4 linked regions of the Arabidopsis thaliana genome follow. The protein of the gene in region 3 interacts with the protein of the main gene of each other region in a pairwise test. Each region holds a gene or a part of one and is shown on either strand. Other genes may lie near its edges. The genes, in order: BEL10, BLH3, OFP2 and KNAT5.

Region 1 (8,249 bases), on a different chromosome or scaffold from region 3:
CATTTTGTATCCCTTTTTACTTTTATTCCATGTTTAAATGTCACATGGGGAAAATATGTGTACCAATGAAACAAACTTGTCATTTTGTAGAATGCAGAAGAAACAAAAAAGGATAAACTAAAAATCTATCTTTACTAAAGAGTCCCTAATTCTCCACAGGAAAGATTCAGATCAGCGGAATTTAGTCCTGTGGTGTGCTCAAAAACGGTTGTCCATGTTCTCGACTATGCTTTGCAGTCCTGACTTATACGAAGGATATAACAATTTCACTCCTAGTTTATCCTTCATGCGTTCGTTGCAGACTCGTTTCTCGCCTCTCAATGAACTTTCCTCCCGAGATTCATACAGAAATGGAAATGGTTTTGTGGTGATATTCCCCGGCCAACGTTTCTCGATCAACTCCAAGGCATATTCAAACACCTCTTCTCTTGCTGCCGGATCATCATCAACAATATTGTAGATCTCCCTGCCAAAATGGTTGATTCATCCGTCTCAATGGTTCAATCATCCATCACAAAAGAATGATCATAGATGAAGAGGGATACACAAACCCTGATGCTGGCTTTTCAGTGGCAGCTTTAAGAACTTGGCATATATCTTCAACATGAACTCTCGACGTGAATTTACGGGACGCTCTTCTCTTTTGACCTTCAGACAAACGCTCCTGCTTTAACAAGGTATCAATTGCACTGCAGCAAGAAACGTTCCTTTTGAGAATCAGTTTTAAAGCCTGTTTAAGCACTACATACACAATCAGAAGCTGTAAACAACCTTCGACCAGGTCCATAAATACCCCCAAGTCGAAGTATTTGAGTCGAAACCCCAAGATCACGACCCAAGCTTAACCATCCTTGTTCTGCAGCTAATCTCACTTTGGCTGACTGAGTTTTAGGATTTGGGAGATGACTGCAATATGAAGGAACGACCTTATCTATCATGAACAAAAGAGATGAAACTTGGAAGAAAGAAACTTACTTTTCATTGACCCACGCACCACCACAATCTCCATACACACCTGCAAGCATCAAAGAGAAGTATTGTAAGTTCCTGTCTACTGTGGAAGCAGAAGCATTGATGTAATGAGGAAAGTTAAAAAGGAAAATACTTGTTGATGAGAGATAACAAAGCCATCGAAGATTTCCACTCGAAAGCTTGTCTCTCACAAGTTCTACATTCCGCAACATCTTTTGGAAGTCATCACAGTTAAGACAGTGTTATCAAATAAGAAATCACATTAAGCTCTAATGATAAAAGCTGGAGAAGAAAGCAAACCGGATCACCAATGTCAGCTAAAGGAGGAATGGAAATGAGTAGATGAGTGTAATCTTTCACTGAATCTAGCAAGCTCCATCTGATTAACAAGCAAACAAAAGAGTTTAAGACTCAGATTTTAGAGATTACCATCATTGAAGATCTGATTAAAACAAATACTCAGGTGAGTCTGCAGAAAATGGATGAAGATTAATTCCTCTCTTTTCCCATTCTTTCTTCTTAGAATCACTCCTGCAAGTCCCTGAAACCACCCTAAACCTCCAAAATTGTTAACACCATCGGAGAAAGATGAAAATAGATAGATATAGAGATAAGGAGAGAAACTGAGATATCAGACCAGTCTGATTCTTTGAGCTGTTGCGCAAAAAAACCTCCGACGAATCCCATCCCGAGAATGAACATTTGGTTCGGCGATTCTGGATCTGGTGCACCGGATCGAGAATCGTCGGTTGCTGATAATGGCCGGAAAAAGTTGATTCTCCTACGATTTGAAAATTTAAGTGGTGTGGGAGTAAAACGGAAAGGAATCTCCGGTGACAAACTTGGTAACTGAAAAACCGCCATTGAAATCGGAGGACTGAGAGACTCCAAGGTCTGTTGTACTTTAACTGATTCACAGTACAAAGAAACTACGTGCCGTTTTGTTTTCAAAATCAAGGACTGCATTTCGTTTTTACAGTCCAGTGATATATACTATAAAGAATCGTGAAACATTTACCACAAAAGTCTCAAGTTCAGATTTTTTCACACTTGCAAGTATCCTTTATACCACCGTGAATATTATTATACACACATATCAATATTTGGCTTAAGAGTCTACTATACACAAAAGCAACCTACACATCTACTATATAATCCATAGAGAATGGGTGTATTATGCCTAATACTATAAAAATGCAAAAGCACATTTCTTGCGCTTCAAGAATCATCTCCTCTGTACCAAGAAGAACCAGATAATATCACACAACAAAGTCGTGTAAGTGATGGGAATTGGAGAATCTGCTTTCTTGCTGGTTGCTTCCGCTAATGTAACGGTAATCATCAACACCAAACCCGTGATAGTTCATCAGAGTGTCGTAATCCGATGAGCGGTTTATCTGTTGTTGCTGTGGGTCGTTATCATTGCCTAGAACACGATCTGGTTTGGTTTCTGATGAGAAGACAATGTTTGTTGTGTCTGCAGATGAATAAGCGAGGTTGCTGTTGTTGTTGTTCTCTTGCTGCTGCTGCTGCTGCGATGAGGAGTCTTCTTGGTTTGTGCTGTTGGGTTCTTGGGAAGATTTGGAGATTAGTAACTCAGATTCATCACCAAACTCTTCTTTATACATTTCTTCGATCATCGGTTTCCACAGACGAACTCTCGCGTTTATGAACCAATTAGCAACCTAATCATTTAGCAGAGAAACCAGAATTATTCAAGCAGAACACAAAGGGTGCAAATTTTAAGTGAAGACCAAAAGCTTGGTTTATACCTGGTTCTTTGACAATCCTGTCTGCTTTGCAAGCATGATTTTCTCAGATTCTTTCGGATATCTACAAATAAAAAAAACAGAAGAAAAACATAGAGTCTCTCTAAATGTTTTGTACTGGGAGATTGAAAGATTGTGACTTGTGACTTGTGAGAGAAGAAACACTTACGGATGAAGGAAATGTTCAAAGAGCCAAGCGCGAAGAACAGAGACAGAGTTTTCAGGAAGACCTCTTTGAGGTCTCCAAGCAGGTCGAACCATTCCAAGCTGTTGATGCAAAGCTCTTTGCTGTCTCAACCGTTGATCTAAATACCTCAACCTTGGTATCCTCTCTCCTTGTTGCTCATCCAACGACTCTCCTCCTTTCTCCCCAAGTTTTTCTCTAACAATCTGAATTTGTTCCTTTATTGCGTCGCGAAGAGCACGAAAATGGCGAGAGATTCTGTTGAGAGCAACTGATGTGTAAGGCTTAGCTGATCCAAGTCCTGCTACTATCTCAAATGATGAAGCTAATGCTTCCATTTGATGGTAATATTGGTTATATCTTTTATCTACCTGCAACCATTAACACATCCACAACAACCAAATCACCATCAATCCTGTTATAAACCAAAGGTAGTTTTATGAAATGTAAGTTAGTTACCTCATCAACCATTGTTAAAAGCTTGTTCTTCTTGTTCTGAAGCTCTTCACGTTCAATTGTAGATAACTCAATCGATTTCCCATTCGAATCACTCGATAACTCACCACCTCCTCCTTCTATCTCCTTAGAACCACTGTTAAAGTCATTAACTTTCATCTTCTTCTTCCCCATTTGGTTTAGTTCTTTCTTGACACTAACCACTTCATCAAGCAAATTCTGAGCAGGTTTAAGATACCGAGAACGCAGAACGCTGCTCATAAACCCTCCTGATGTCTCATTATACCGATAATTGTTGTAGAAGCCATTCCCACCATTACCAGCATAACCAGAGGAAGGATCAGATTGACCCAACAAGATCATTTCTTTGCTCTTCACACTCATCTCATCCACATGAAACGGTGACGTTTCCTTGACTGAAATTGAAGGATTCTGACTAGTAAACCCCAATTGGTATTGATGAAAGTGAAACGGAGCAACAGAGATCTGAGTACCAAGGCTCAAAGACAGTCCTTGACCATCGTGAAAGCTTAGATCGCTGCTTGAAACGGTACCGTTTCCTGTTACAACGTCTCCTGTGGTGGTTGGTGGGATAAAAACCATCTCGTTTCGAACAGTATCGCCGCCGGTGACGGTGAAAGAAGCGGCGGCGGATGAAGAAGAAGCTTGTTGGTTTTGTTGTTGATGGTTGAGAAAGATTGGTTCTTGCTGGTAACAACCGACATTACTTGTGTAATAAACTGCCATTGGTGTTTACACCTTTTAAAAGTTTTATTACAGTGAGTTCTTAGTTCGATGAGTTTGGTCGGGAAATGAGATCCTGCAAAAAAATAAGAGGAAGAAGAGTCGTGTAAGGTGTGGAATTTTAAAAATTTCTGATGGAATCTAAGAGAGGTTAAAACATCGTAATCATTTCACACCAAACCATTTTTTTTATATATCATACATAAACAGTTTCGAAAGCAACAAACAGAATCGGACCAAATTATTCGGAGGATTAAAGTCAAATTCTTGATAAAAAGCAAATGTTTTTCGTGAAGAACTGAAGAAACCCAGAAAAACCCAATACAGGAATTGTGTAATCGTAGAGGAATACCCGATCTATGGAGGTGAAATTGAGAGGAGAAAAAAACCCTAATTTGAGGTTGGAAAAAAAAATGCAGAGTAAAAAGAAATTGTGTAGCTCAACGTAGTGAGTCAAAAGCAGAGAAGATTCAATTATTACATAAAGAAGTAAAGTGTCTTGATGATTTCATCTCTTGTAGGAGAATTTCCAAAAAGCAAGGGAGAAAAAAAACACAGAAAGTATACAAAAAATAATAATCAAGAAACACAGTACAAGATTAATCATATCAAGAATCAAGAATCAAGAACTTGAATTTTTAAAAACTACCTGAGGGAGAGAATCAAAGTTAAAAGGAAGAAAAAAAACCTAGAGATTGTGTTTGTGAGTGTGGATGTGGCTGAATCAGGAAACACAAAAGCAGAAGAGTTTCGAACAGTTGAAGACAAAAAAAGATTTGAGACCCAATCCCGAGAGAGATAGAGAAAGAGGCGATTAATAATTGCAAAATTCTTAAATAAACAAATTTTTTTCAGTCCACAAGAACAATAAAACCAACCCAACTTATCATTGGGACATTAGACACCAACCCAATTTTTAAAAATATTATTATGCAATATCAACAATAAAATAAAATAATGATCACTACCGGAAAAATTTGACAACCGCTACCTGTAATTTTTAATTTTTTGCGGCAGAAGCTTCTGTTTCTGATGCTTAGAGTAAAGATAAATTAATATGATTTTTTTTGTGTGCCAACCATTCATAGAGAAACACGTGAGAGCTTACAAATCACCAATTTTCTTTTCTTGATTACGTGATAATATTTCTTATGACGACTTTAACATACAAAACTTAACAATTCCACACACACAAATAAATGGATTTTTATAGATGATTGTATTATACTTTAATGATGTTGTGTTGTCATTGACTTGAGACTCATACTACTTTTCCGTATAAGTTAACTAAATACAACCAAAAGAAAAAAGTTGAAGGAATGAGTGTTTATATATGAAAAGTTTAGTATTTGTATATTAAAAAAAAAAACCAAATCTAACTATTTAAACGAAATAATCTATAATGCGTACATTACCATGGTATCGTGGGAAACTTTTAACGACTTCCTGATTTGTGTACGTGAGGCTCCAAAATAGTGAAATTATTACCTGCCACAAATTATAGAGTCTAGATTTGGATTTCAAACTAAAATGTTTTTTTAAACTATTTGTTCTTATCACCTTGCTTTCATCATAAAGTTAAAGTTCGATACATTTTTAATAGAACTTCTTGAGCACTTTGTAGTTCAATATCTTTGAGGTTTTCTTTAAATGTTTGATATAACGGATATACTTTTAGTTATGCATGGTAGCGGAAATTAAACTCCATCAAATAAAACATAGAAACGTCATTATAGGTAGGAATATGAGATTACAAAACTGACCCTGATAAGCTGGTTTAAGGAAGAAGATAAAACAAAGGTGGGTGTGTGTCTGCTCAATTGCTTAATTGATGGATTAAATGACTTAACAACCAGTTGGTGAGTCCCTCCTTACTCTTCTGTTATACCCAATTTTTATTCTAAGTTCTCTTGTCTTTTTATTTCTTTTGTTATAAACCTTTTAGTTATACACTTACATGTTTGTATTTGCATATTCCACAATGAAGAATACGTAAAAGATTATCTTTATAGCTACACTAATAATATAATCCATTTCCTCTGATTTTTAAAATAACAAGTAGTTTCGTTTTGGTTTGTTGGAGATTGGATTTAGAGCAGCCGACACAAAATCATTTGGCAAGTACCATTGTGTTGGAAAATTATTATTCATGTGTTTTGAGTCTTTGAGAGATGATGATATTGACTTTTGTTTCCACGTGGATCTTGATTTATAATGATGATTAAAAATAAATTAATTAGGCAGTTAGCTGGTGAGAGATTGATTAAATCTACTAAAAATTTAGATTATTAATGATGTAATTATTTTTAAAACCGTATGGTTCTGTAAATCATATTTTAAAGTTGAGGATGAATCGATGATGCTAAACGAGGAAAATGTGTGTGAGTAAGAAATGAACAACCTTTGGTTTGGAGGAAAATGTTGAAGTATAATAATTCTTGCCAATTGTCAAATATATTAATTACATGGATATATCCGAAAAAAAACTTTATAATAAATAGCCACAAGTTATGGCCGTGTAACAAAAAGTAAAAGAATTTATTGCCACATACATTGTTGGACCATATATGAAGACGGATCATCACCACTAAAATTCATGTTTGTAACATTTATATTCTATGGATCGAAATCATTATGCTCTCCATTATTAGAACCAAACAAAACCAAACCAAAATTGTATCAGCAAAACTAATCTGAAGCCTAGCTTAGCTTAAGAAAAAAAAAGAATTAAAACCATATAGTATGCATTAACTATCATCATAACTAGTTTAGTTTTAGGCTTTTAGCAAATAGGCCTTTTAAAGCCCATTATAAATATGAAGAGAGGATTCCATCGGGGGCCTGCTGAGAAACGGCAATCAACTTCCTTCTAAATAACAAAAACGGCGTGAATTGCAAACTTCTGCAAAGAGTCAACACTGATTAGCGGCTTTTCCCCATTAAATCTCTCCTCTAAACTTCTTCGTTCCAAGCTTTCTCCATCACTGACGACAGATCCTTAGAAAGTTCTGAGATCGATTGTTACTGTGTAAACCCTAGGATGTGATTCTAAGCTGTAGAGAGAAACAATGGCGAAGCCATCAACGAGTATGTGGGCAACATTGCAGAAGAAGAGATGGCCACTGATGATTCTATTGGTTTTATCTGTATCAACAGTAGGAATGATTCTCGTGAGATCTACTTTTGATTCCTGTAGTGTTAGTGGAAAGAGATGTAGCCGAGAGAAGGAAGATAACAGTGACATTAAGATCCAATCGGTTTCTGGATCGTTGAATCCTCTCGAGTTCATGAAATCAAAGCTCGTTTTACTTGTTTCTCATGAACTCTCGCTCTCAGGTGATGTTTTGTGATCGTGTTACTCTCTTGTCAAAATCTCTATGGCTAAACTTGAAGTGATGATTTTAGGTGGACCTTTATTGTTAATGGAATTGGCGTTTTTGCTTAGAGGAGTTGAATCTGAAGTTGTTTGGATCACGAATCAGAAACCAGTTGAAGAAGATGAAGTGATCAAGGTTCTAGAACACAAGATGTTGGATCGAGGAGTCCAGGTTCAGATTTAGCTAACCACCTCCATTGTTTTTCTTTGATTCGTATCATAATTGTTAGTGATCAATCTTTTTTGAATCATTCAGGTGATATCAGCAAAGAGTCAGAAAGCTATAGATACAGCTCTCAAGTCTGATCTGGTTGTTTTAAACACTGCTGTTGCTGGGAAATGGCTTGATGCAGTTCTCAAGGACAATGTTCCTAAAGTTCTTCCTAAAGTACTCTGGTGGATTCATGAGATGAGAGGTCACTATTTCAAACCGGATTTAGTCAAGCACCTTCCGTTTGTTGCAGGTGCTATGATTGATTCGCACGCAACAGCTGAATACTGGAAGAACAGAACTCATGATCGCTTAGGGTCTGTTTCCTCTCTGTAGAGTCTTGCGATATATTAGTTTACGTTATTGTCATAAGCTTAACAGTGTTTATTCTTTTATTGTTGTAACACAGGATTAAAATGCCTAAAACTTATGTCGTGCACCTAGGAAATAGCAAGGAGTTGATGGAAGTAGCTGAAGATAGTTTCGCCAAGAATGTTCTCCGTGAGCAAGTTCGAGAATCTCTTGGAGTGAGGAATG
Region 2 (7,944 bases), on a different chromosome or scaffold from region 3:
CCCTTCAGCTCAATCGAAGCCTTTGTTCTCCACGCCTTCTCTTCCCAATCCAGTTAGTGATCTTTCATCGGCTCACACGCGTTTGCTTCCTCCTAAATCCACACCATCAAGACGGGCTCGGCGTTCACCTGGGCATCAGTTGTTTAGGCAGGTTTCTGATAGTCAAATTTTAGGACTGAAATCCCCAATTAATAATTACTCAATCTCAGAAGGAAGGTCGTCCTTTGTGCTTTCGACCTGTAGCAATGACTTCGCCACTGGATCCCAGTACGCATCTTCTGAAGGTGGCTGGTCTATGAACACTTTTTCTGAGCTCGTGGCATATTCTCAAAGGGATAGATGGTCCTTTGATAGCGAACACTTGGGTTCTGGCAGACGGAAACTAAGTGGTGGTAGCAGCAGATTCTCATTCTCCCCTTCCGTTGTTGATCAGCAGGTTTGTGGAGCTTGTTCAAAGTTGCTAACCGAGAGGTCTTCTATAGCCACTTTTGAGCTCCCAATCGCTGCTGTTCTTGCCTGTGGTCATGTTTACCACGCAGAGTGCTTAGAGACCATGACTACTGATATAGAGAAGTATGATCCTGCTTGTCCCATATGCACAATTGGGGAGAAACGGGTTGCGAAAATAACAAGGAAAGCCCTAAAAGCGGAGGCGGAAGCAAAGGCAAAGCAGTACAAAAGATGTAAAAACCGTGTGGTAGATAGTTACGGTGAGAGTGAATGCGATGAGTTTGTATTCCAGAAAATGGGGAAACGAGAAGGCAAAGCTCTCAAGCTGGAAGCTAGTTGCAGTAGCAAGAGCTCGTCTAATAAGTCATTCTTGAAATGGCACTTTGCTTCTATCAGCTCCAAGTGGAATAAACCCTCGTCCAAAGACTCTGCATTGAAGAAGGGATTCTGGTCTAGACATCGAAATAACCGGTCTTCTTCAAGCATAGAGGTAAAGATCCATACACTGAATATTCAATCCTGATTTGCTAGAGAAATGAAACATTCCTGTAAATAACCAATAATACACACATTTCAGGGACTTAATCAGACATCTCCGCTATGATGAAACCCCTCCATCTGGATCAGAGGCATGCGGGTTATTTAGGAAAGCTTTGTATAAAACAGATATTCAGGTTCAGCTATAGCCTTTAGAGCTGTGTTTTAACTTTCTTTTTGGATATTTTGTGTGTTTCATTGTAACCTGTGGGGATAATTTTCAGTAATGAAACAAACTTGTCATTTTAGAAAAGATTTGAGAATTTGCCAACCATTTACAGAGAATGTTTAAAAAGTTGTGTAACGTTTCGTTGTTTACACAAGTTTCAGAGGAACTCAAAATCTGTTCCAATTCTTGTAACAAAATGAGGAAATTAGATCAAATCTTTTTCAGTTTGTTCACACTTAAAAGTATTGTTTATACCATCATGAAGATTATAAACAAAAACATTACAATATCGGCTTACCAAAGTGTACACAAAGCTCAATTTTCATATACAAATGTAAAGTCTAACACCTAAAGTTTTCACAAAATCTATCCTTTATATATGCCACAACAAATATTACAGATATACATATTTGTATAACCCCTATCTATAAAAATGCCAAGAGCGCATTTTCTTGCGCTTCAAGAATCATACTCCCCCAATCAACTGGCATTGCCAGTTCTTAAGCTTGTGAAAAGCTCAGGAATCTTTTAGACAACAAAGTCGTGTAATTGATGGGGATTAGAATATCTGCCATCTTGTTGGTTTCCAAGGCCAACGTAACGATTGTAATCATCAATACCAAACCCATGATAGTTCATCAAGCTGTCGTAATCTCCAGTAGTAGCACGGTCTGGTTTAGGATCTGCAAAGACTAGGTTTTGTTCTGCATCAGATGTATATGGGATGTTGTTGTTGTTGTTTCCCTGATTCTGTTGTTGCGAAGACGAAGAGTCTTCGTGTTTGAGCTGAGATGTTTCCTGCATTTTTTTGGTGTCTTGATTAGAGTTAGAGAGTAACTCTGCTGATTCTCCAAACTCTTCTTTATACATCTCTTCAATCATTGGTTTCCATAGTCGAACTCTCGCGTTAATAAACCAATTTGCAACCTAAATTGCCAAGAATCAGAATACCACTCATATAAAAGCAAGACCAAAGATTGAGCCAATAAGAACCTGGTTTTTCGATAGTCCTGTCTGCTTTGAAAGCATGATTTTCTCTGATTCTTTAGGATATCTACAAAAACGATTGAAATGGTTATCAATGAAGCAATGAGGAGCAGAAAGAAAGTGTCTTACAAACAACAAACTTACGGATGAAGGAAATGCTCAAAGAGCCAAGCTCGAAGTATAGAGACAGAGTTTTCAGGTAAGCCTCTTTGTGGTCTCCAAGCTGGTCTAACCATTCCAAGTTGTTGATGCAAAGCTCTCTGTTGTCTCAACCGTTGATCTAAGTACCTAAGACGCGGTATCCTCTCTCCTTGTTCATCAGAAGTCTCTCTCTCCCCAAGCTTCCCTCTGATCACCTGAATCTGTTCTTTTATCGCGTCGCGTAAACAGCGGAAATGGCGAGAGATTCTATTCAGAGCTACGGATGTGTAAGGCTTAGCTGCTCCAAGACCTGTTACCATCTCGAAAGACGATGCTAAAGCTTCCATTTGATGATGGTATTGGTTATACCTTTTATCTACCTGCAAAAATGTTTTCAAAACTCAAAACTCCAAAGTCTCTCTCTCACTTTAAAGTATTCAAATTTGATTTAGTCTTACCTCATCCACCATTGTTAAAAGCTTGCTCTTCTTGCTCTGTAGCTCCTGACGTTCTGAAGGAGACAACTCCTGCGATTGAGATTTATCATCTTCTGTAATGTTATCACTAGACCCATTGTGAAAGTCTTGACCTTTATCATTCTTCATCTTCTTATTCCCCAATTTCAAATCTTTCCTTACACTAACAACTTCATCAAGCAATTGTTGTGTTGGTTTAAGGTAACGAGATCTCAGTACACTACTCACAAACCCTGATGTCTCGTAACGGTAATTGTTGTAGAATCCAACACCATTATTACCATTGTTGTTGTAAACAGAGGAAGGTAAAATTTGATCAGAGTGATGCTGATGAACACTCAAGCTCTTCCCATTCTCATCAGACATAGTAGAAGGATTAAGATTATTGTAACTCAATTGGTTCGAAAGATTCTGGTAATGATACTGAAACGGAGAAACAGAGACAGCTGACTGGATCTGATTACCAAGACTTAAAGAAAGTCCTCCACCGTGAAAGCTTAGATCGTTACTTGACACCGTTACGTTTCCGTTGACGGCTACGTCGCTTGTTGGTGGGATAAATACCATCTCGTTGTTTCGAACATCACCGGAAACAATCTCGGAGAAAGATGCAGCAGAGGAAGAAGAAGCTTGTTGTTGTTGTTGTTGTTGTTCGTTGAGGTAAATGGATTCTTGGTAAAGAGATTGCATGCCGACACTATTAGGGTAATACACAGCCATTGGATAATAAATCGAAAGTGTTTTGTTGTTTAAGTGAGTTTCATCCGATTGATGTTTTGTCTGAAAAAAGAGAAAGAGAGAGAGAGAGACGTGTGAGTTTGAAACTGAAACTGGATAAATAAAAGAACAATTCTTTAAAGAGGTTAAAACATCTTAATCTCTATATACGCCGCAATTACAGATGAATTCAAGAAATGAAAAAAATATGAAATACTCAATTTAGGTCAAGAAGATATCAAAACCCTAGGTAAAGTTTCCACTTCAATTCAGTGACGCAAACAAAAACAGAGGATGATGTTTGAAATCATGAAAGATATAAAGTTAATTTTTTTTAAGTTCTGATGATTTCATACTTTTGTAAGAATTTAACAGAGACGAAGATGATGATAAAATTCGAAAAAGGAAATCTTTTTGTAAAAAGAGAAACAGAGTACAACAAGTCAATCATATAGCTTTGAATCAAGAAGCTACTAATAAGAACAATCGAATTATTATAGTTAAAGAAATGAAACCTGAGAAAGAGCTAGATGATAAACTATACAAAAGAGAAAGAGAGATTGTGGATGTGGCTGAATCAGGGAACAGAGAGATAAAAAGGGAGAAGAAGAAGAACTTCGAACAGTCGATGACAAAAAGAGAGAGAAAGAAAGAGAAGACACCCAATCCCAAGAGACGATTTTTATTAAATTCCGATACTATTTTAAAACTTTATTTGGCATTCACTAACAAAGAACAGAACCAAACCATCTTATCATTGGAACCTCGACAACAAACCCAGATTTTTTAATTAATGTTTAATAAAATATCAGTGTATCACTAACCTATGGAGAAATTTGACAATCTCTATTCTCTACCAGTAATTCTTTTTTGTTTGTTTTTCTATTCCAACCGAAGCTTCTATATTAAAATTAATAATTTTTTGTTGGTTTTTTTTCTGTGCCAACCATTTAGAGAATAACACGCGTGAGCGGAAATTTTCATATTTTTTTTCCTTTTCTCTGATAGGATTATTGTTAGATAATGGAGAATATTTATACAAATGCGACTTTTTATATGCATTTATATTTCAAGTTATCTGATAAAACAAAAGAATATTATTGGAACCAGAAGGAATACTGTGCAGTGTTGTCATTGACTTGACTTGGTGCTTATATTCAAATAAATATAATTAAAAATAAAGTATGTTTTTTAAAATGAAGAAAAGAGTTGAGTTTTCGTATTCTATGTTTTTATAAAGTTTAATTAATAGCTTGGACATAAATTCAAGCAACCGTTGAAATTTTTTACTATTAAAATTTTCCACCAAAGCTTTGTTAGATTAAATTAACTCAAGCAATCTCAAATTAGTTGTGGTTGTGATGATAAAATCATGGGTTAGTCTGAACCAACAGATGCTTTTATTAATTTCTTTACATAATTGCAGATCCCTGGTTATAAGCGAACGAGAAACATGTGTTACGTGACATGATACTTCATAACTAATCTATGATGTTTTGATGTATAATTGTTAAATTATTATAACGACGGAACTCTCTAAAAAGATTGTGATCAAAATTAAAATTAAACATCTTTTGAGGTCTCCTACTGTTTATACGTTATATACTTGTTTCTTCGCGTAATACATTGGACACACATACTCTTATTAAGTGACGTGCAAAAGAGGAAACTAATTAACTCCATTTTTTCAATATCTTCCTATTATTTACATATTAAAAATAAAGATATAAGTAGAATTGTCAACAAATCAATATATTGAATATAAAGTAATTAAAATTACTAAAGTATCCCTAGGCCTAGAGAATTTTGATTTGCCAGAAATGTTGCTTTGAGGAAGAAGTGTTGTGTCTGCTCAATTGCTTAATTGAGGGATTAAAGGACCTTAACAACCAGTTGGTGACTACCCAATTTCCTTACTTGGAACGAAAAAATCCAATTAGTTGACTAACAAATAAACATATTTTCTTAAATAATCAAGTGATTCATTTGACCTACATGAAGAAAATGTATTTATACGCAAAACAATAAAATGAAAAGAAAAGTTATGATGGGTCGATTCCATGTCCCAAAGGATCTAAGGAGGTTGTGTAATAAATAATAGAAAAAGTAGAATTCGAAAGAAGATGATGAAAAATGAAATAAATAAGGTAGCTGTGTCGGACGCGAAGTTGGTGAAAGTGGCCAAAAACGAAAGACTTGGACGCCAATTTGTTTCGTAGAGACGTTCCTTAACGGAACGAAGCTAACGGCTTTGTGTCCATCTTAATAAATGTTATTCTTATTTCAATTTCTGTATATTTCGTTTATTTCTTTTATTCTTTAATGTTTTTTTTTGTTTTTGGTTGAGTTTCGGTTTTGTCATAGATTGGAACAGCCGACACAAACCTTTCAAGGAGAATCAATGTGTTACAACAAATTCTTTTTTTATGAAATTTTATATATTTATGAGTAGATTATTTGTTTGTTTTTAAATGTACAACTGATAAACCCTACACACAGCTGGTTGAATATGGGAGTATATACAGTGGGAAAGTTTGAAAGGATCAAATATTTTTAACTTTCTAAAATAGGTTAAATGAATGTGGTTTTCTAAAGCTATTTATGATGAGTATTCTTATGAATAATAATATTATACATATCGTGAGTATATAATTTGAAGAAGATGATGAATCGATGATGAGTGATGATGATAGTGCTAAATGAGGAAATGACGAGTAAGAAATCAACAGCTTTTGTTTGGACAAAAAGCTTTTTGTACACCTAGCTATATGGTATGACAGCTAATAATAATTAATATCCTTAAGATATAATTAATCGCAGTTGTTAATCATAAATAGTCGGACCGTTTAACCACATGAGTTTTTCCTATTTTCAAGAGCAATCTGGTTAAACTACATGTAAATGGCAACAAAGTAAGAGTTTATGGTACGGTTAATTAGATGTTCCCAGGTAAATAGTAATACTACAGTTCACAGATTAATATGAGTTTTGCGTTACACTCAAGTCTCTATCTGTATAGCGTTTGAGAAATTATATATGCACGATCCACAATTTATGATCATAAATATTTTGTATTTAAACTAACAAGGGAAATATTGTTGTTCTTGCCATAAAGATTGATTCCACCAGTGAAAATACATTTTCAAAACATAAAATAACGTAGCACACAGTAAATTTTCAGTGCATGAGATGTGAAAGTCATTAGTATCTTAAACCTCATTAATCGTGATACAAACTAAAAGTGGAGACTGGAGTTTCTATGTTAATGAACATAATTGCCTTTTTAGAGCCCATAATAATATGCGGGTTTAAGTGGCCCAGAGGGATTAAAAACGGCAAGACGTTCTTCCAATAACGGCGTGCACTGTGAAACCTTTAAAGATCAAAATTTTCTTTCAAGGTTCTTCTCAGTATAACTCACTTTACAGTTCTACTCAGAGATCCAATTTCTTGCCCATTCTCGTCTCGAATTTGATTTTCAAAGGTTTGATTTTTGAGATCTTTAGCTTAGTTTCGACGAGTCATTTGCGAAGATCTAGACTATTGAAAACCTTAGGATGTGTCTTTAGCAAAGGAAAACAATGGTCAAAGCGTCGACGATGCAAAGGAAGAGATGGGCACTGATGGTTTTGTTGTTTCTATCTGTATCAACAGTGTGTATGATTCTCGTGAGATCTAGCTTTGAAACCTGTAGCATTAGTAGCCAATTCGTGGAAGAAAAGAATGGAGAAAGCAGCGCCGCGAAGTTTCAATCGAATCCTCTAGATTTCATGAAATCGAAGCTCGTTTTGTTAGTATCCCACGAGCTATCACTCTCAGGTTCTGCTGATTTGATTTCTAATTTGATCTGGGTTCTCGAAAAAATCATACTTTTTTGAGGTGATGATTGATTTTGTGTGACAAAAGGTGGACCTTTGCTATTGATGGAATTGGCGTTTTTGTTAAGAGGAGTTGGTGCTGACGTTGTTTGGATCACTAATCAAAAGCCACTTGAAGATGATGAAGTTGTCTATAGTCTTGAACACAAGATGTTGGATCGAGGAGTTCAGGTTCTCTCGTAGTTCCTACCAATAGACTTCAGAGTTTGTTGGAAAGATGTTGTCTTGAGCTCTGTTAATTGACAAGTTCTTATTTTTGGTATCTGACTTCAGGTTATCTCTGCAAAGGGTCAGAAAGCTGTAGATACATCTCTCAAGGCTGATTTGATTGTTCTTAATACTGCTGTGGCTGGGAAATGGCTTGATGCTGTTCTAAAAGAAAATGTTGTTAAAGTTCTACCTAAGATCCTATGGTGGATTCATGAGATGAGAGGACACTATTTCAATGCTGATTTGGTCAAACACCTCCCCTTTGTTGCAGGGGCCATGATTGATTCGCATGCAACAGCTGGATACTGGAAAAACAGAACACAAGCTCGCCTAGGGTATGTTTCCTCTTTGCACCTCCTGCTTCATGTGAATGATATAC
Region 3 (6,477 bases):
TATAGTCTTCACACATTGTTCCCAACTTTAAACTTAGAAACCTTAGATGTTGTATTCAATAATTGTCAAACCACAAGTACTGACAGATACAGATTTAAAACATTTTTGTTTTGATCAATTTAACTAGATCTGTTCATTCACCTGAAAACAAGTCTCTACAGAGTTCTCCATAAAATCTTGAGACAAGTTCAATGAAGACAGGACTCTTAAGATTCTTCCAACAGAAGAGAAGTTCCTCTATGTCCATTAAGTCATCTATTTTCCCTTCTTCAACAATCAGATGAATCAGATAGTTTTCAAAGCTTCTACAAGCATCTTCCACAGCATTGTCTTCAAATGTATCTCTTGCGTTCAGCGATTTCCTGGTCCGTGAAGAGTAAGGTGTCGTGATGGGTGAAGTGAAGAGCTTCTTGGCTGTTGCTGGCGTAAGAGGTGATTGCATAAACTTGGAGTAATCATCATCGTTCACACTAACTGCAATGGCAAAATAAGAGAACAAAGAGATCAAGAAGCTGATAAAATTTCAATGTTAAAACAGATTTTGTAGCGAAGTTGTCTTACAAGAGGAACTTCTATGTTTGGCGTTGCTCATCTTATGGTTCTTGCTTGAATTGAGGAAACAGAGACAAGAACAGATTGGCTTCTTGGAATGATGATGTTGATGTCTAGGTTTGACATTGCCATGACGGGCACGAAGAGGTCTAATAAAGACAGGTCTTTTAACTCGGAAGCGGAAGAGAGAGACAAATCTGTTGCATGATTTCGAAAGCTTTGATTTGAAGTTAATCAAAGTTGCTTTCACTCTCATTGTCTTGAAGCTTTTTTGGTGATGATGTTGTTGTTGTGATCCTCTTTGGCTTCTTGTTTTGTTTTGGTGTGTATAAGGTTAGAGGATTGGCTTGTGTTGCGTGGAGTTCACGTCTTTGGGTGTGAAACTGATCATGATGGTGGAGTCCCATGAAGTTTTTAAAAACAATGGAGAATAGAAAAGGTTTTCTTATTGCAAATGTTTGGTGGCTCTTGCTTATAAACAAAATCCAATATGATGAGATAGTTTTGTTTTTGTATACTCAAAAAGTCGTTGATATATTGGTAGGTCAACATTGTTGAACATAAACCAGTCCCACGTCTAGTGAAAATATCTCCATTTTTTAAATATGAATAATCACTTGTGCTTATTTAAAGTAAGGATGGAAAATGTTTTATTTTGATTTTTGAATATCATTTTTTTCCTTCTCGAAGTTAAAAGATAAGTAGTTGCCAAAACATTTGATCTGGAAAGTGGAAATGTATAGAAGAAGAAAAAAAGTGTCCTCAAAATGTTCGGCGTTAGTGGACAAAGTAGACCAAAAAATTTCTCATATTCATTATTATGACTCAAAAGTTGATCCCACTTTATTCAGAGGAGAAAATGGAACATATTTGATTATCTTAATTTCATCATTTGTGTATCTGTATCACCTTAATATAACATAAAGTGCTACTATACTAAATTATTTCTACCTAAAAACTTAAGATAAGGTTCACACTTTACCAAATTCAAAGAAGCATCGAAATGAAACTATTGAACTTCATTATAACGTGTACTTTGAGTCTTTAACCTAGATAGATTCACATATGTTAAACTTTTAGTTGAATTGTGAAAACTTTGTTTTTATTTATTAAATTGATTTGTCCGTTTAGAAACGTTTTAATATTTTCAATCAAAAAGCATACTTCGAGGAAAAGAAGCTGTATTTTTCTTTTGTAATTGCCATTTGGTCAACCTTTTTGTGTATTCTTTAAAACTGTTTACATTTGCTACTGTTTTATAATTCGCTAATTACATTTTTCAGTTATTTTATCATTTCGATGAAGAGTAAAATCTCCATGAAATGATGATAGAAATCTGTCAGAAATCAGAAGCAACTGATTCTCTGTTTTATAATTATTTTTGTACTATTCCCTTAATTATATAATATTTTAGATAAAAGTTATGTTCTTATGATTTTCAGTTTTTCACCAAATACAATTTCAATTAGTCAACCAATTTTAAAAATTCACCATAAAATAAATTTATTAATTATGTGAGCACAAGCGTGTAAATGTGATGTCTCAAGTTGATGTTGATGATGAATGATGATGATACTAATAAAAGACATTCTTTAAGCTTTTTCTAGTAGTAGCCCCACTAGTTTCCAATTTTAATCTTCAGTTTCTTCTTTATCTGTCACATAGAGAACTTTGCTTTCTCACCTTCTTCTTTATCTAAGGAAACAAAAACAGAGTTTTCTTAAGAGAAATATCACAAACTTTTGTGAAAAAGAGAGAGACAAGATGGGGAATTACAAGTTCAGAATTTCAGAGATGCTCCCAAATGCATGGTTCCACAAGCTCAAAGACGTGACTAAACACTCTAAACCCAAAAACAAAGCTTCTTCTTCTTCCTCAAACACTTGTAGCAAGAAGAAACCTTCCTCAGATTCTCTTCCTCAACACTCTTATTTCTCCAACAGCTTAGTAGCTAACAATCCTCCTCACCATAACTCACCAAGAAACTCTCTTCACACAAAAAAGATGAGTAAAAGAAAGACACTTTACAAGCCATCCCTTAAACCTTTGACTCCTCCTCCTCTTCTTGTATCTGCAAGTTTCAACAAGAGCAAGATCAACGATCAAGATTCGTCTTACAGCTTGTTCCCGGCTATTGAAACCTCCCCTGAGTCTTTTGTGTATAGTTTCTACGAAGAGGATGATGATGATGAGTTCGTTGAATTTTCCAACTTCAAGATCAACACAAAGAACAAAGCTTTCACCAAGCAGAAGGTCAAAGTGATTGATTCGGTAGAGAAAGCTTGTACTGCAAGCAAGCCGATTAAGAAACCGCAGAAAAGCCATCTTTCTGTGAAAATTTCAAGAGATGAAGATGATAATGAATATAAAGCCGAGAAGAAGTACCAAAGGCAAGTTTCTAGTGGAAGAAAACCATCTGCTGGGATAAACCTCAAAAGAGTGAATTCACCTAGAATTCAACTCTCAGGTACTCGTAGAAGCACTTCTAGAAGATCAGAGAGCAAACAAGATGTTCTAGAGAGCTTCGCTGTGATGAAGCGGTCCGTTGATCCAAAGAAAGATTTCAGGGAATCAATGATTGAGATGATAGAAGAGAACAACATCAGAGCTTCGAAAGACTTGGAAGACCTTCTTGCTTGCTACCTTACTTTGAATCCAAAGGAGTATCATGATCTTATCATCCATGTTTTCGAACAAATCTGGCTTCAACTTACAAAAACAAAGTAAAGAAAAAAATAATTCTTAATGTAATAGTAGTTAACCTAATGGTGAAAGTAATTAGTATCATTCTGCTTGTGAAATTGTAGTTGTTGACTTGTTGTTGATGTTCATAAGAAGTTAGATGGAACTGTGGAGATTCTCTCTTTGAATCCCACTTTTTATGTATTGTTTTCTTTATTTATCTTTTTGGAAAATGTAAGCAAATAATAAAAGTTGTTATCATATTGTCGTTTTAATACAAACATGATCACTAAGGGCGTGAAAACACTGTTAATTAAGACAGATTTTTTTATCACTAATTAAACATATTCTTGTCTTCTCTATGATTATGAACATATAAAACTACTCACAAAAGATGATGCTTCAAGATTTGATTATTTCTTAGAATATGAAGATGGATTAATTGCGCCAATATCATTTGAATATTTTGAAAATACAAAGTTGAAAATGGCGGTAAACAGCAACAAGAAAAAGACAACAGTGAAGAGACATGAACAATTTGAAAACGCAACAAGTACGGAGTTTATATATATGCATGAAGAACATTGGATAATCGTTGAAGGTAGAGAGAGGACCACTGACACATAAAACTGAGATGTGATTAAAGAAGAAAGAAACAGTGATGAGATTTAATCCTTAAGGGTTTTTTTTTTTCTGTGAAGAAGGGAAGAATGAACTCATGAAGAAGAAGAAGAGGACCACTGTTGCAAATTCCATCCCCTACCACAGTTGGCTTATGAAGTTTCAGCAAAAGACATGTGATATGGTATGGTTTCTGACTTCTGAGTGAACATAAGCAACAAATATTCAAATCAATGGGCCTAAATGATCTTGCAGTTTTGGATTATAAAGTTAAGAATTAAAAAGAATAGGTGATATATGTATCATAATTTTAAGTTTTAAACAAGTATGTCAGACAAAATTCTACATTCTAATTTTATACATAGATATGAGATAACCTCATAACCATAAACTACACCAAATTTTCATGAACAAAATATGATTCACACGAACTTTTTTCTATCTTGATCACCTAGCTAACTTGACAAATTAGTTGTTCGTCTAAAACTACACAAACATTCAAAGTTCGTTTTAAATTCAATATATTTAAAAATAACAGTTAAAGTTTTATTAAATGGCATTCCAAATATTGATTCCTTCTAGAAAATTTGTGTGGTTTTAAATTGTGAAATTTGGATCTAGAAAAAATAGCAAGTGTGGTTTCTTGTGACCTATGGTTGTTAGTGTAGTTGTATACCATTTTTTAAAGTTACATTGTAATTTGTAAACCATTTTTGTGTGGTTGACAAAAAAAAAACCTATGACAAAATTGCTCCGTTTTTATTTTCAATAACAAATTATAATGTAAATTAATATGTATCATAGTGTTTTTAATAAAAATATTTAAAATTAGGATTGATTGTTCTGAAAAAAATAACGCAACTAATACTTTGTTAGCAAATACTAACGTTTACGTACCAAAAAAGCATTATGTAAATCCATTCATCCATCATTGTATACTTGACTTTCTACATTATTCTTTTGTTGTATCAAATTTAAAATTAATGAATGAACTTGACATAATAAAACACAAAATATATACTTAAATTGTACGATATAAAAGTTTGATTTACATATTTTATATCTATAAAAAAGGGTAAATAAATGAAATAAAACTTTTTTTTTTTTTTTTGTCAAAGAAATGAAATAAAACTCAAATTACATTTTTATGTCGTAATGCGAGCACACAAGTGAGTGCATATCCAGTATTAAGTTTTTTTTTTAATAATTCAGAATTGAAAGCAAAGGAAAAAGAAGAAATCGAAATCGGAAACTGTATATTGTTGTTCTTCGATTCCTCCTCGCTCTACGCCGCGTCCTCTCTCTCAAATTCATCGGAAGCAACCTTCTTCTCCCATCATCGCCTGGTTCGTTTCTAAACCCTACTTCTTCTATTTCACAGTATATCTTCCTTTAATTTTCAATCGAATCTAGCTTTGTGTCGATCTCAATGTAGATCGGAATCAAGTAAAAGAAATCGATGAATTCCAAAATGTTCCCGATCTATTGCAATGCACGAATCGTAGAATTATCACCTACATTAGTCTTGATCTAATCGCCCTATTTCAATTTCAAATTCGACATCGAAGTTTAAAGGAGATCGCAAAACCTAGTTATAGAATCGTTGCGTTTGAGTTGTTTCGCTGGTGATGTAGAAACCCTAATTTTGGTTGTCCTGTGTTTGGTACTTGCTCAGAATCCAATGGCAACGATAAGGAACTTGAAGATAAAAACATCAACATGTAAAAGGATTGTGAAAGAGCTTCACTCTTATGAGAAAGAAGTTGAGAGAGAAGCGGCTAAGACTGCTGATATGAAGGACAAAGGTGCTGATCCCTACGACCTTAAACAACAGGTACAGATTTCATTGTTTATCTCTCTGTATTCGAAGATTCGGAGCCCGTCTTTGTTCGTCAGAATCTAGAAATGCTGTGTTGTGCTGTGTTTAGACTTGGTTTTTCCTAATCTGTGTATGTGGTGATGCAGGAAAATGTGTTGGGTGAGTCTAGGATGATGATTCCGGATTGCCACAAACGTCTCGAGTCTGCATTGGCTGACCTCAAGTCCACTTTGGTAAACTACATTTTCCATTGTTATTGCTTGCTAAGCGTCGGTCTAGCTTTATGTATTAGTTTATAAGAAACGCTGAGCGGTGATTTGAAGTTTAAGAGCAGTAGTACATTATCAAACTATAACTTTTATATGTATCTATAGCGATTGGATTAATCCCCTGCATGAAACCATCTTAGTCTCTCTTTGAGGAAAAATGATGAATAAGGACACAGAGGAAACTGTGAATTCGTACTCTGTCTTTTGTCTCTAATGAAAACTGAATTTGCAGGCGGAATTGGAAGAGACGGATGAGAAGGAAGGTCCAGAGATCGAAGATGCAAAGAAGACAGTCGCGGATGTGGAGAAGCAGTTTCCCACTGAAGATGCCTGATTTAGCCAGCGATGAGTGTTAAATCTGTATTCTGAGAATGGTTAATCATCTGTAAGAATCTTTATATCTAAGGTTGCTTGTCGACTGTATACACTAAAAATATCTTTCTTTAACATTTTGGTGATTGTTCTTTCATTCAATATCTTTGAAATGGCACACTTGCTATAATGTGTTGTAAGCTGCAACTTAACGATTGATAA
Region 4 (7,302 bases), on a different chromosome or scaffold from region 3:
TCCTTCTCTCTCCCTTCGTCATTATCTCTCTTCTGTAACTTCTCTTTCTTTCCCTCTCTCTCTTTCGCTGCTTCTCTTCTGTATCTGATTCCCTTTTTTACGGGAGCTGTAGATTTGAGTAGTGTAAGCGTCGATGAAGAAGGTTACATCGTCTAAGATTCCGGCCAAGGATGATTGGGTGGCTGTAGCGATAACTGACGACGATTTGGTCGTTGAGCTTCTTTTACGGCTGAAGCATGCCGGAACGGTAGTGTCGGATAATCCGGCGGTGATTCTCCCTCCGTTGCGGTGGGGAATCCGTCAACGACGGTCTCGTTCCTCAAGATTTGGTGGCGGCGGCGGCGTTCTCGTTTCCTTGAAGAAAGATGTCGATTCCGTTAGAGCCAGTCCGAAGACTCCTCTCTCGTGGAGCGGCGGATCTGGAAGTGGTGGCGGCTCTGCTTCTCCTTCCGCCGATGGATTCGAGGATAACAGTCGCCAAGCTAGCTGCTCTACATCTACAGGATCTGGATCTAAGGTAACTTTCTCTTTTCCCTATCGTGATTTTCAACTTTTGCCTCTCGATTTAGTCTTCTCTCTCTATCTTCTTTCTCTCAATTACGAATCCGGTAGCTCCGGAGAGATGGCAAATCCGTCATCTCGCTGGATAATCCGATTCCGATCTGGCCGATAAATCTGGATTTAGCCGTTCGTAATTGAGAAGATCCTTGGCCGTCTCTCTGTTTTTCTTCATTTTTTTTCCTAAAATCCATAAAGTTTAGCCTGACGTCATCTCTCGCACGCTTCAATTCTCACTAGAACGTATTTAGTCTGTTTTCTTCAACTTCTAACAAATTCACCGGAAAAAATTCCTCCGCCGTGATTCGCCGATGACACCGTCGGCCGGAGCCATCCTGCTTCTAGGTTAAATTCATCTAATCTCCAAAAAGTCAAAGCCACTTTAAGCTTAATTTCCTTGTTTTCTGCTCATTTTTTGTAATTAGAAAACTCTACTAATCTTCTGTAACAAAGCTTAATAAGAGACCTGTTTTTCTCGGTACGCATTGAACCGGATCTTGCGTGGCCGGTTAGATGTGGATTTTTAGAAATCGGTCAACTTTAATTTTGTCTTGAGGAATAATTAAAGCTCCTTTTAGATTTTGGGGGTAGTACAGCTTAACAGCTAGTTGGTCAAACGCGTCCGCGTTTTATTGAACGTTTTGATGCTCGAGACGGTAGCGTTTTGTGGGTTGAAAGTTGAAACGAGTAAAATGATCTTGTCGGAGAGATTGGTATCACGTGATCTTTAAAAGAGTGATGACGATAGATGACAATGCCCATGACACGGAATAATCATGATGTGGCATCAAATCCTCACTATAAAAATTCTTTCCCAATTATATATTTGAGATTTTTTAATTTTATGCTCTATTTGGTTTCTTCGATATATTTTTCTTACTTGTTTGAAATTTCTGTTGTGGGAAAAGAAACTTTTTACCGGTATGTTAAAATAAGATCTTGGGTATTGATTATAAAAGTAAAACAGTTGTCGTTATCTTCAGCCATTTAATAGTTGACTAATCAAATGCGTTTTTGTTTTGCAGGTTTTTCCCACAAACGAAATCACCAGTTGTTTCTCCAAGAGATTGAAGAAGAGGAAGGTAAATATAAAGTCTCCTTTTTGAATTTCAAGTACACACTCCAAAATTCAAATTTTATTGAGCTGATGGTTTTTTATTCTTTTAATATTTGGCAGTCATCTTTTGAGCTTAAAAATGAAGAGAACTTGAAGTTGAAGGAGAGACTTGACCTTGAAAAGGTAGATTTTCGTTGCTATTCTCTGTTTTATTATCATGGTTTTCATTGTATTCTTAAAAAAACCCAATATTTTTCCACAGGAGATTGCAAGTCTCCGAGCAACATTCGATGAACAAAACCTTAGGAACCAAAAGCTGAAGAGGATTAAGGTAACATTTAGATTCTCCCTAACCATCTTTACAGTAATCAGATATTCCAGATCCCTTCTCTCTATTTGCTGGTCTCATCGACTCTTGTGTTTTCTTGTTTCAGCTTGACTTAAACTCAGGCCGTGTCACAAACAAGAAACCTGTTGATTTGATTCGTAAATCACAACTCGAGCGGCTACAGGGATCAAAATCTTGCAAAACCAGTGACTCGCAAAATCAGGGGAGTTTCTTCGTCCTCCCTGATCTCAACATGGCGCCATCCGAGGAAGAGATATTGTACGGAACTAGCTAAAAACTGGCCTATATGAAGATTTGCGATCGAATTATAGTGAAGGGAAGAAGGGAGCTAGAGATGTCAACTAAGAAAAGTGAATGTAATAAGTGGTGTAATGAAACTCTCCCGTCACATTCTGGTTTTCCGTTTCCTTCTTTTTTTGGGGTAAAATGCTCAATTACTTCTTGATTTTTTCTTAGGAAGAGGGTGAAAATTAGGTTTTTACTTTTTACTCCCTCCCTCCCTCCCTCTCTGTTTTCTTTAATTTGATGTGTTAGAAGAAAAAATTTGTTTTAAATAGATGGTGTTATCAATTTTTAATGCAAAATTAACTACTTTTTTTTTTCTTTCTTTCTCTTTGTACCGATTTAAAAGCTTTTGTTGGAAATTGTAAAGAGGAAAAAGTAGGACAACTAATAGACTTTTTATGTTCCAAACATTTTCTTCTTCACTATTCTCCATACATTATTATATTAAAACCCTAGTTTCCGCTCAACTAATCCAAGACAAGAAGATCTATCAATCTCTTTGGACATTCATTTTTCTACTATTTAATTTGAATTTTTATAATATAAACTTGGGAGGTGTAATGCTATTGGTGGGTTGTCGGCGTGTTCATGGAAAAAGATTCGTTTTTAAATGCCCAATAAATTTGAGAAAAAATTGCCAACTTGTTTATGAGCTTATTTTCTTTTTCATGGATCCCAAGTCTTTTGTGTATAGAGATTAAAAAAAAATGACATTCCTTCATGTAAAAAAGAAAAAAATATCTGGGTTTTAAAAATATCTACAATGAGTTTAATGGTAAATATACTTATCATAATTTGGAGAATAAAGACCTAAAGAAGAAAATTACACTCTAGAACAGAAGTTTTGTAAGCAAATCATTGCTCACAAAACTTGTGAATTACAGAATTACAGGCTCTTGTAGGTTGAGTTATTTTATGCTTCATTTTGGTTACAGGCTTTATGTTGACATTAAAACAAAGAGATTGAAGTAGAGTCCAAAAAAAAAAAAAATATATATAAATATAAAATTCAAGATTAATTAAAAAATATTGGTCTTCAGAGAGATAAATAACTAGGGGAAAGAGAAAACAGTCTTCTCTTCTCCGATCCCAAAAACGCAGGAAAACAATGTCGTTTAACAGCTCCCACCTCCTTCCTCCACAAGAAGACCTTCCTCTCCGACACTTCACCGATCAATCACAGCAACCTCCGCCGCAGCGTCACTTCTCTGAAACACCTTCGCTTGTCACCGCCAGTTTCCTCAACCTCCCTACCACCCTTACCACTGCGGATTCCGATCTCGCTCCTCCGCACCGCAACGGAGACAATTCCGTTGCTGATACAAACCCACGCTGGCTCTCCTTTCATTCGGAGATGCAAAATACTGGAGAAGTACGTTCTGAAGTTATCGACGGAGTCAACGCCGATGGTGAAACGATACTCGGCGTTGTAGGAGGTGAAGATTGGCGGAGTGCTAGCTATAAGGCGGCGATTTTAAGACATCCGATGTACGAGCAGCTTCTTGCGGCTCACGTGGCTTGCCTTAGGGTTGCGACTCCCGTTGACCAGATTCCGAGGATCGATGCTCAGCTCAGTCAGTTGCATACCGTCGCCGCGAAATACTCCACTCTTGGTGTGGTTGTTGACAACAAGGAACTTGATCATTTCATGGTAAGTTTCACTTTCTAATTTTGCAAAATTTTAATGTTTTGAACTGTGAACGATTCAGCCATTTATTTCTCTTTGATTATCTGAGTATAGCAAATTCACATTTTTGTGTGGCTCATTGTTCCCGCTTCTCGAGTCTTGCAATCGATATGATCTTTGCTTCTACTTTTTTGGTTAGCTTGTAATTCGAATTATGAACTTTGTCTGACTCAAATAAGTTATATTTGTTGCATAAAGCTTCTTCTTTGATGACTAATAGTTTGTCTGATTCTTGCTGAAAAGGACTTTGCATGTCCAAGAGAAAGAAAGCATAATCTATTTTTTGTAACGTTCTGTTTGTATGTCTTATGGATTGGAATCTTACCTTTGATTATTATGTTGATGCAGTCACATTATGTTGTCTTGTTATGTTCATTTAAAGAACAACTCCAACACCACGTTTGTGTCCATGCAATGGAAGCCATTACGGCTTGTTGGGAGATTGAACAATCACTGCAATCCCTAACTGGTAACGTCCCAAATCATTTTTTTTTTTTGTTATTGTCTTCTTGCTTTATGTGTGTCTTGGTTTTATCGGTTTTTCTTTGTTCTGGTTTGTAGGAGTTTCTCCAAGTGAAAGTAATGGTAAGACAATGTCGGATGATGAAGATGATAATCAAGTAGAGAGCGAGGTGAACATGTTTGATGGAAGTTTGGACGGTTCAGATTGCTTGATGGGGTTTGGTCCTCTTGTTCCAACCGAGAGAGAGAGATCTTTGATGGAACGTGTGAAGAAAGAACTGAAGCATGAGCTTAAACAGGTAATTGCTTGATCAAGCTGCAATGGTACATCAAACTATACAAAACACATTGTTAAATCATGTTGCTCGGTTTCTTTTTTCCCCTGTAGGGTTTCAAAGAGAAGATTGTGGACATAAGAGAAGAGATAATGAGGAAGAGAAGGGCGGGAAAGTTGCCAGGAGATACGACTTCTGTACTCAAAGAATGGTGGCGAACTCACTCGAAATGGCCATACCCAACTGTAAACACCTTGGCCGAGAAGTTTTGTTACCACATTGTCAAAAGCAAGGTTTTAATTCGTGATTTGGTTTTGGAATTGCAGGAGGAAGATAAGGCAAAACTGGTTCAAGAAACCGGTTTGCAGTTGAAACAGATCAACAATTGGTTCATCAACCAGAGGAAAAGAAACTGGAACAGCAACTCTTCCACGTCATCTACTCTCACCAAGAACAAACGTAAACGGTAAAACAAGATCCGTTCTCTTTTTCAAATTGCGCAATTTCATTAAACCAACCCGGTCAAGATCTTCTTTTGTAACCAAACTCAGGACCGGGAAGTCGTAGGTGACATAGCGGCTAACTAGAGGATGGTTCTTTGCCATGTGAATTCTTGGGAACCGTATATGAAAGAAACGAATCCGGTTCTATGCTCGTACAGAGTGTGTTATTTGTATAGTGGATACCGGTTAGCCTATGAAACCGGATTCTGGAGTCCAAATTGTTGTTTGTAACGACTTAGTAGTTTTTGGAAGTGATCTGTTTCGTTGGTTTGCGTCTTGTAACGAACGCTTAAGCAAGTGTGGGTTTTTTCTTGTAAAGTGTCAATATGTTCGTTTGTAATGAATGTATCAAGCAATATTTATCATAATTAAACTAGCTTGAAATGTAGTATTACGATGTTGTTGTGTTCGTCTGATTTCTCTCACCGGTTGATGCATGGTTACGTTCGGCTCGGTTTTTATATGGTTCAATTTTTAATATATCGATAATTTTAAATGATTTCACTTGTATTATTAACAAAGCCCATTGGTATTTGGCCCAAAATCTGAATGCCGACTTAATGACTTGTTTCTTCTTCCTTCAGCTTCTCCAACGAACGGCTTTTGTTTTAGTTTTTTTTGCTTACCTTTCTCTCGACTTGGTCTACTTTTGTTACTCTTTGAGTTGGGTGATTATGGCAGCAGCACCACAGGAGGAACGATCTCCGTCGCTTGACGATTGCCTTAAGCTATTGAAAGGGGAGAGAGACGAGCAGAGGCTCGCCGGTCTACTTCTCGTCACCAAATTCTGTAAGAACGATGACATCGTTTCTCTCAACAAGGTCTACGAAGCCGTTGGTACTCACTTTCTCGACCGTCTTTTCCGTACTGGTAATCAAAACCCCGAATTATTGATCTTTGTCTCAGTAAATACTAATATCAATTTTGGGGTTTCTACAAAGTGTGAATTTTTTAGTTGAGATACTAAAGTTTGTTGCTCTGACTGGTTTCGATTTTTTGTTTTGCAGGTAGTGGCAGTGGCGATGGGGTTGATAATCGTGATGTGTATCTGCAGATATCTATCACTGTTCTTGCTGCATTCTGCCGTGTTCCGGAGATAGCTTCTTCAGAAGAGATGGTCTCCAGAATTCCCCTTATTCTCGAAGTAATGTCCAAAGGGTATGTTAGATCACCTGATTCTTGCATTTGCGACTTTCCATGAAGTTTTTTTTTTAATCAAGCTTTGCTTCTGTGTCTTCAACTTTTTGCATATTGTGATTGCCTAAAGTTAGGAAATTGGCTTTTGGAATTTCAGAATAACTACAAACATGCTCGAAGATTGCTATGAGCTTCTGTATTTGGTGTCCACGGCTTGTGAAGCTGGTCTCATGACTTTGATTAACTCTGGAGGCTTGAGAGTGATAGCTCCCCAGATGTCTGAGTTACCTGATGGTAATACATACTCTTTCATTGGGTTTACATTCTTTTGTTGTGTATATGATGCACATTAGATTCCATTGAATGCTATTTCGGATTGATTATATTTGGTGTCAAAGAAAACGTGCCATGTTGAGGTAGATGGATTTGATAATAGTTTTTCACTGGGAGCTAATGTGAGACATGTTATTCAGGTTCACATGCCATGGAGGTTGCTATAAAGATTCTGCAGTTATTGGTTAGTAAGCTTGATTGTGGGAGCATGACTATTGAACGCTTCTTAGAACTGTCTTTGGTGGTGAGTCTACTTACTTGGTTACTTTTTGTTTTCTTTTCGCAATACTTACTAAAGCTGCAATGCTGAAGTTGGACTCCAAACATAATGTTAACTTTTATTCAGATTGCTGCTGTTGCACGGCAGTTTGCGGTGTTGCATAATGCCCTGAAGTTTGAAGCACTCCATTTACTGTCTGCAGTCTTCTCGTCAGAGTATTCTGTGAGTTTTCACTTCTTAACTTCCTCCGGAAAAGTATCTATAGTTACTAGCATGATTTATGTAGATTTAATGCAGCTAAATTTTCAAAATTTCTGTCCATTGAAATTGGAAAAATTAAAGTTTTATTTTCCTTTACTTGGAGAAATACAGTTGCCTTCATCGTCTTGATGTTATTTAATATGCATGTTATGTTTCCATTGTAGAAGCTCTACAT

What was found.
Region 1: the proteins of OFP2 (region 3) and BEL10 interact in a two-hybrid assay, tested with the Arabidopsis thaliana proteins (one large-scale study listed by BioGRID).
Region 2: the proteins of OFP2 (region 3) and BLH3 interact in a two-hybrid assay, tested with the Arabidopsis thaliana proteins (one large-scale study listed by BioGRID).
Region 4: the proteins of OFP2 (region 3) and KNAT5 interact in a two-hybrid assay, tested with the Arabidopsis thaliana proteins (one large-scale study listed by BioGRID).

Annotation. Positions count from the first base shown.
Region 1 is NC_003070.9:6,807,727-6,815,975, forward strand, and holds BEL10 (BEL1-like homeodomain 10), read right to left. Parts: upstream 5,338-8,249; 5' UTR 5,117-5,337; intron 5,032-5,116; exon of another isoform or gene 4,478-5,031; intron 4,269-4,477; exon of another isoform or gene 4,202-4,268; 5' UTR 4,129-4,201; coding exon 3,385-4,128; intron 3,297-3,384; coding exon 2,911-3,296; intron 2,806-2,910; coding exon 2,745-2,805; intron 2,658-2,744; coding exon 2,232-2,657; 3' UTR 2,039-2,231; downstream 1-2,038. Other genes in the region: AT1G19690 (NAD(P)-binding Rossmann-fold superfamily protein), read right to left, coding at 199-466, 552-689, 772-906, 976-1,015, 1,106-1,184, 1,273-1,351, 1,432-1,524, 1,610-1,836; AT1G19710 (UDP-Glycosyltransferase superfamily protein), read left to right, coding at 7,194-7,461, 7,531-7,673, 7,758-8,029, 8,122-8,249.
Region 2 is NC_003070.9:28,298,411-28,306,354, forward strand, and holds BLH3 (BEL1-like homeodomain 3), read right to left. Parts: upstream 4,319-7,944; 5' UTR 3,993-4,318; exon of another isoform or gene 3,541-3,992; 5' UTR 3,481-3,540; coding exon 2,743-3,480; intron 2,665-2,742; coding exon 2,288-2,664; intron 2,211-2,287; coding exon 2,150-2,210; coding exon of another isoform or gene 2,111-2,149; exon of another isoform or gene 2,084-2,110; coding exon 1,685-2,083; 3' UTR 1,376-1,684; downstream 1-1,375. Other genes in the region: AT1G75400 (RING/U-box superfamily protein), read left to right, coding at 1-940, 1,028-1,054; AT1G75420 (UDP-Glycosyltransferase superfamily protein), read left to right, coding at 7,059-7,296, 7,384-7,526, 7,629-7,900. UniProt on the Arabidopsis thaliana protein: Transcription factor that is responsive of the nuclear import of SHOOT MERISTEMLESS (STM).
Region 3 is NC_003071.7:12,954,276-12,960,752, forward strand, and holds OFP2 (ovate family protein 2), read left to right. Parts: upstream 1-2,169; 5' UTR 2,170-2,316; coding exon 2,317-3,279; 3' UTR 3,280-3,532; downstream 3,533-6,477. Other genes in the region: OFP17 (ovate family protein 17), read right to left, coding at 134-474, 562-808; KIS (tubulin folding cofactor A (KIESEL)), read left to right, coding at 5,537-5,689, 5,821-5,907, 6,176-6,277.
Region 4 is NC_003075.7:15,490,770-15,498,071, forward strand, and holds KNAT5 (homeobox protein knotted-1-like 5), read left to right. Parts: upstream 1-3,219; 5' UTR 3,220-3,357; coding exon 3,358-3,900; intron 3,901-4,284; coding exon 4,285-4,405; intron 4,406-4,497; coding exon 4,498-4,697; intron 4,698-4,786; coding exon 4,787-4,918; intron 4,919-4,999; coding exon 5,000-5,139; coding exon of another isoform or gene 5,140-5,143; exon of another isoform or gene 5,144-5,224; coding exon 5,225-5,240; 3' UTR 5,241-5,612; downstream 5,613-7,302. Other genes in the region: AT4G32030 (uncharacterized protein), read left to right, coding at 134-517, 1,584-1,640, 1,736-1,798, 1,878-1,946, 2,050-2,238; AT4G32050 (neurochondrin family protein), read left to right, coding at 5,851-6,046, 6,184-6,334, 6,471-6,607, 6,787-6,890, 6,993-7,088.